2 linked regions of the Mus musculus genome follow. The protein of the gene in region 2 interacts with the protein of the main gene of each other region in a pairwise test. Links are inferred from orthologs where the notes say so. Each region holds a gene or a part of one and is shown on either strand. Other genes may lie near its edges.

Region 1 (3,503 bases), on a different chromosome or scaffold from region 2:
GTTGGGACTCAAAATTTTCCATATGATTTCAGCATCCCTGAGCCCAGAACAGGAGGAGAAGAGAATAACCAGCCTTCAACATGTGCCTCCTCTACTGCTTATCTGAGGTTATCATGGCAAAGGTAAGCAGCAGCCCCAGACTGATGGCTAACAGCAGAGCTGATGCGACCTCTGCTTCAACAGCAGCCACTACTGCCATCACTACTACAACATCCAGAGCTGTAATTATGACAATGGACATAATGGAGTAAAAGATATAAACCCAGAAAAAAAAATAGATATGCATCCATAGAGGAACAGTAACACCATTGGGCAACATATGGGATAGACTGACCCTCACTGTATGCAGTAAAGGTGAATAAAGAGCCACTGTCCACAACCCGTGAGTTAACCTGCTACTGTTCCACACAGCCCCGGGCTTCTGAGTCATCTTTGGAACAACTGAGCCTTAATTGGCAAAACTGATTTGTAAGATGCTTGGAGTCAAATAATCAAGAGTCTAGAGAAGATCGTTAGGGTAGAACTTTATTATTTTGTCCCCAAGAAGACAAACCCAGCAATAGGGGAACATTTAAAACATTTCACAAGATTACAGCATCTTTGAGCCCAGGACACAAAAGGCAGCAGGAGAGAAGAACAGGCCAAGGAAGGTCCACTGAACATGGCTTTCTCCTGAATGGTTTGTCTAAAGTGTTAGTTGCTCAGGTCAGCAGCAGCCTCCAGACTGCTGGCTACTGCCACAGCAGCCACTGCTGCCACCACTGCTGCCACAGCAGCCACTGCTGCCACCACTGCTGCCACAGCAGCCACTGCTGCCACCACTGCTGCCACAGCAGCCACTGCTGCCACCACTGCTACAACATCCAGAGCTATGGCGATGGCGACGGAGGGATCTGCGGGGTCTGTGATGGCTCAGGCAGCAGCCTCCACCCCCAGAGCTGCAGCAGCCTCCAGAACTGCAGCATCCCCCAGAGCTGGAGCCACAACAACCCCCAGAACCCAGACTACAGCAGGAAGACACAGGGGGACACTTGGGAGGACACTTAGGGGGGCATTTTGGAGGGCATTTTGGGGTCTGGCACTTGGGAGGACACTTGGGAGGGGGCTGGCACTGCTGCTGGTTCTGCTGGCAGGACATCTCTGCTGGTGAATGCTCTGGGGCTGTGGAAGAATCATAATGCAAATTAGAACCAGGATCCTGGGGTCATCCTATCTACTTCTAAATATCACTGATAGTCATAGAAAATCTATATTCTGTAGTTTTATTTCTAACAAACCCCAAAGCATTCTGTGATAATGGCCTGTAGAGCCAAATTATCTTCTAAACGTTGACAGGAAAAAATAGGTTCTTATTCTTAAAAAAAAAAAAAAAAAAAAAAAAAAAAAAAACAATCTCCTGTAAAAACCCATAAGTTGAGAGATTTCATAGTCTGGAAGCATCTTCAGAATAATTTCCTCCTCCACTTAATTTCTCTGAATGACATCTTTTATAATGCCACTGGGCTTGAGCTACATCTATTGTATATCATATCATGATTCTTATAAGAGTTCTATGGATTCCTGAAGCTTTCCAAACTGATAAGGATAATGACATCAGAGAAGGAAGTAAAGATTATTGCTAGGTGTTCCAACTGCATTTAATAAAAGACCTAACTTATCCATTCCTGAAGCTATGAACCAGGTCTTGTTCCTCATTTCAGGCAAATCTGAACTCATGTCAGCACCCCATGTTGACTGGTGTTTGACATAATAATTCTTGTGCTCGTTGTCTTAAAATTTCTGAGCAGCCTGTGATCTAGTTCCAGATCTATGGCTCTGTCTGCTCCAGGCCCAAAGATCCCTTGGTACTGTGTCCTCACTGTTTGTCTTGCTTTCAAGGCTTTCCAAGAGAGCTGTTACAAGAGGGAGCCCCCTCCCTCCTGAAGCCTATCAAGGTCCAAGGCTTTCTGCATTTTAGGTTTTAATCCTGAGCCCCACTCCACAGGAGGGCAGAATATCCACTCTGGATTCTTAAGTCAGAGGTACTCAATTCCTTCTAATACCTCCCATGAGTTTTAGAGTCCCCTGGACTCTACCATTCCTACCCAGCCTTCATTTTCCCCCATTGCTCTCTGCTCTGCTAACATGTCTCTGAACTCTGTGGCTTTACCCAGCTCTTTTCCACTTGCCACCTCTCCTCCTAGCTTCCTTCTAGTATAGGCCATGTTCCCAATCCCAATGGGCACTTACCAAGATTCCAGGTACACAAGATCTTTGGATACCTCGGAAGGTGAGTGAATGGAGGTGCTCTGTCCCTCAGCCCTTTTAAACTGACTCTGGGCTCTGCCCAAACCTGTGAGACAGTGGTTGGGCATGAGAGGCCCTGCCTACACTCACATGATCTTCTGATTAGTGATGAACAGATAGGTGTTCCTCACCAGCCTTCCTCTGTGGAGCTCATGGATGCTACATCCAGCATGGATGATGATGTAGACATAAGATGAGGAACTGGATTCCTGTTAACCTTCATCTCACATACCTGAAGGATCCATAGAGTATCTCATTGCTCAGCTGATCACATTACTGCTCTTTCTGAAATGATCCACACTCCAAATTTCATGTTTAAAGTACAAAACTGTGATTTTTGTGTCCGTCTTCCTCCAATTTGCCCTTTATTTTATGTTTATATTATATTTTATGTTGAGAGTGGTTTCTTCTCTTCTCATTGTCTCACCCTTAACACTATCATTAGTTCTGTTTGTTCCTATAGAAAGCTTCACTTTAAATTTCATGTCACATATACAACTTTATTTCTCTATAACAAATTGAGCAATGAAAATATGAGAGAATATACATACTTTTCTTTCTGCAACTACTTTAATTCACCTGATAGAATTATCTTAAGTTATTTCCATTTCTCTTAAAATAACTTGCTTCTTTTAGAGGAAAAAAAAACCCAATGTAAACCATATTTTCTTAATCCATCCCTCTACTGTTAGATATGTAGATTTGTCCTGTAATTCATCTATGGTGAAGACCCATGACAGTAATATGCAAGTATTTGTGCTATGTTGACTTGGTGTTCTTTGAGTAAATGTCCACAAGTATATAGCTAGATATAATAGGTCCCTTTTCCATAATTACTTGTATTATCCCTGGGGTAAGAAAGAATCTCAGTGTAGTTTAGATTTGGATTTGTGTTTCTTCTATGGCTATCAAATATGATTTTTTCAAGTGTTTGGAAGCCATTTGTATTTCCATTTCTGAGAAATATCTATTAATTCTATCAGTTCATTTATTGAGTTATCTTAGTTCTTTGTACATCAGAGGTATTAATCCTCTTTCAGATACATAGTTAGCCAAGATTACTATCATTCTGATATTTCATTTTACTGTTTTCTTTTAAGTATAGAAGCTTTGCAATTCCATAAGGTCTCATTTGTCCCTTATTAGCTTTATTTCTTGAGTAACTGCGTCCCATTCAGGAAGTCCTTGCCCATGCCAACATATTGAAGTATTTCCCC
Region 2 (3,513 bases):
ATCTCCATTTTGCTTGACTTTACCATCAGCATCTCAGCAGGGTGCATGTCTTTCTGCTGCCAAACTTTGTCAGCTGAAGTGGTCAACGCTGCTAGCGCTCAGCCAGTACCTTTTGTGAGGCTGTGGACTGTGGGCAGATGTCCGCCCTGGTTCTTTGAGGCTGTGGACTGTGGGCAGATGTCCGCCCTGGTTCTTTGAGGCTGTGGACTGTGGGCAGATGTCCGCCCTGGTAGTCCCGAGGTAGTCCTTAGGTCCAGAAAGTGAGAAGTAACCCTGGCAGTGGTCCTCGTGCTCCGAGGTGACATGATTGCTTCTTGGGGTCCGATGGACGTAGGTACTGAACTAGTTTGGTAGGTCCCCTTGCACTCATTAAGTGGTGAAAGCTGACTCTCTCCTGTTAGATTGGTAATTTCAAAAAGCTAGTCCTGTCATTTCTCTTACATTTTGCTGTTAACGGTTGTTTCAGCTGTTTAACTTCAGGCAGGCAAAGCTGTGCAGTTTGCTTTCCTCTCAGGATAAGGAGACTAAATCTCAGAAGGGTGAGGCAGTGGAGTGAGGAAGCTGCCCAGGTACAAGCCACCCTGGGCAGGCAACGCCACAGAGGCCCCTGCCGTCATTGTGCCTTTTTGTGAATGGATCTGTTAATGCCATAGGACTGTTTTAACATCAGGTTGTCGTAAAGGTTGCCATGGTATCAACACAGTGAAGGCCATTAGTTAAAACAACTAATTAGTTAATGTAGCTAGTGTGATGAAGTAATGAGGAAGACATTAATATAAATTTAGCCTGTAGATACCACTGTGTTAGGACCTAGACTGTAACTGGGGCAATGCACAGTGTTAATTAATGACTTACAGTAATGATGAAGCGCACTCTTGCTCTGCCACTGTTGAAAGCAGACTTTGATTCTCCACATTTCTTGTGCCTGTCTAGGAAGAATTTGTATGTCTTGGAAATGGTGTCCTGGGAGCTCTTAAGTTGTTGTGTATTGTCAGCCTTTTCTCCCAGGATAGCTGGGGCTTGGGGATCTACCCAGGAATAAAGCCGAGGATTTCAATCACTTCCAGTAGCTGATGCCACAGCGCCAAGATCTGGCTTAACCGCGTTCTGACTCTTTGCTTAGAGCAAGAAAAAGGCTGGTGGTTCTGTGTAGATGATCTACGTTTTATTTAGGGGACCATCCTGACCACAAAGATTTTAAGCTGCTGCATGTCACTCAACTTAAAAGGTTAAAGCCAAAGTCAGTCTGAAGGTTGTGTGGGATGATGTCAGAGGGGATGGAAGAAGCACAGGAGCCGGGTCCACAGAGAGGTCGGGGTGCTGACTAGAGCATTCGAAGTGGCCACACTCACTGGGTCTGTGGAAAAAAAATGTACTTTTTTTTTTTTAAATTCAGGAAGCAAAATGTGGATTCAGCAAACAAATTCTGGAAATACTGAATAGTACTGGGTATGTAAATCTTGTGTTCCATTCTGCTCCTGATACTTCACAGTTTTAATGTTTAAACATATTTGCACAATACTTATTTATTGACACACATTTCTAATTTTTATAGTGTATTTTGAATGCTTTAACTTGGACCAAAAAGGACTTTTCTGGCCCTTGTTCTCACCATGCATAAAAAAGTACAGGGAGACAATCACATAATTAGCATTTTTCTGAAGCCTTGGCTTTCAGAGCTAGGAAGATGGCTCAGTGGTTTAGTGTGTTCTGCTCTTTAAGAAGTTGAGAGTTGGTTCCCAGCATCCATATCAGGCATCTCAAAGCTGCCTGTAACTCAGGTCCTGGAGGACCCGAAGCCTCGGCCTGCTTTGTGTGGAGTATGGTGAACTGTTTAAGTCTCTGCTCCTGTGTTGGAGCTGCTGGGCTAGAGATGTCCGGTGGGGGCTCCCTGATTGATTTTTGTGCTTAAAACCAAATCCATCTGTGTGGAGCTGTTTAGTACATGTTCTTTTGGACATTTTTTCAAATGTTTGATTTCTCTTGTTTCATGATTGCTTTTCAAATTACAGTATGTGTTCTGATCATACTTTGAATAGATAGCCTGTTCTCTGAAGTTGCAGATCTGAAGTTGCAGGGTGGAAGGCAGTTATGTAGCACAGTTTGAATATGACCTTTAAAAAGTGGCTCTTCCTTTTAAAGCAGGATTGGGGTCCAGCAAGCTGGGGTAGAGGGTGTAGGTGCTCATCCCCCAAGACTGGTGCTCTGCGTGTGAGCCACATAGTGGAGGAGAGCTGACTGCTTCTACAAGTTGTCCTCTGACTGACACACAGATGTCTTGGTCTTCTACTGTGCCTGAGAGAAATCTGTCACGTCCCACTGTAGCTAGTCTTGTCCATTGAAAGACTGAGTGATTTTTGTCTTAGAACGACAAGCCTGAGAGTAAAGATCGTCCCCATGGCTTTACAGCAGGCTTCCTAGAGGAAGTGTGTTAGCGATGGACTGCTTTTCTTGACTGTATTAAAAACACTATATAGATTTTATGGTTTTGTTTAAAATGAACACCTAATAAAAATGCTTTCTCCTTTTGCAGGGTTGAATATGAAACTTTTGATATACTGGAAGATGAAGAAGTAAGATATAGGTTTTCTGTTTCTCTCTCTCCTTTTTTTGGTTTTTGTTTTTTGTTTTTCCAAGACAGGGTTTTTCTGTGTAGCCCTGGCTGTCCTGGAACACACTTTGTAGACCAGGCTGGCCTCGAACTCAGAAATCCACCTGCCTCTGCCTCCCAAGTACTGGGATTAAAGGCGTGCGCCACCACGCCCGGCTAGGTTTTCTGTTTTATCCCATGTTTTAGCTTTGTTCACAGGGTCTGATGGGAAGGATTCAGGATTTCTGTTGTTCCTTTAGGTGCGTCAGGGATTAAAAACGTTCTCAAATTGGCCAACCTACCCTCAGCTGTATGTGAGAGGGGATCTTGTTGGAGGATTGGATATTGTCAAGGTAAGAGCTTTTCACTGCTGTTCTCAAGAATTGACATACTTGTTATGTTTAAGCATCCAGCTGGGGTGGTGTGGGGCTCCTCCTCTCCAGCCTGTCAGTGTAGGTGCGCGTCTCATGCTTCCTCCTGCTCAGCTGCCAGGCAGAGGGAAACGCTCTAGCTGAGTGTCCAGATGACCTCAGAGGACCTGCTGTGCTAACTACTGCACAGCTTCCTTCCCTGTTTTCTTGTCTGTCAGTCCATCTTTACCTGGTTCCCGAAACTTTAGGTTTTCTTGTATCTTCCGTATTTAGATCTTTTTATCTCCATCCTTTGGGGCCCAACTTCTTTTGTAAATGTGTATTTCTCCTGCTGGGAACATTTCTCTGCTCTAAAATTCTTACTGCATTTTTATTTTTTGTTAGTTGTAATTGTTTCTCTGGGTCATTTTCCTTTTCCCTTAACCACCCTTAACGTGCAGGCGTGAGGATGAAGACTAGGAGATCATGGTCTGTCTCGGCCTTCCCAGTTCTGAGATTACGGGTATGAGCCATCAAAGCCGGCCCTACATTATTACTTCAAATCCTTCCTGA

The links. The genes of interacting proteins can lie anywhere in the genome.
Region 1: the proteins of Glrx3 (region 2) and Lce1a1 interact in binary tests that used the Homo sapiens proteins (3 or more experiments, as listed by UniProt). The two-hybrid records come from large-scale screens. The link is inferred for Mus musculus from reciprocal best matches to the Homo sapiens genes GLRX3 and LCE2D.

The regions. Positions count from the first base shown.
Region 1 is NC_000069.6:92,646,028-92,649,530, forward strand, and holds Lce1a1 (late cornified envelope 1A1), read right to left. Parts: upstream 2,281-3,503; 5' UTR 2,230-2,280; intron 1,162-2,229; 5' UTR 1,139-1,161; coding exon 707-1,138; 3' UTR 505-706; downstream 1-504. UniProt on the Homo sapiens protein: Precursors of the cornified envelope of the stratum corneum.
Region 2 is NC_000073.6:137,461,565-137,465,077, forward strand, and holds part of Glrx3 (glutaredoxin-3), read left to right. Parts: intron 1-1,396; coding exon 1,397-1,449; intron 1,450-2,533; coding exon 2,534-2,573; intron 2,574-2,850; coding exon 2,851-2,943; intron 2,944-3,513. UniProt on the Homo sapiens protein: Together with BOLA2, acts as a cytosolic iron-sulfur (Fe-S) cluster assembly factor that facilitates [2Fe-2S] cluster insertion into a subset of cytosolic proteins.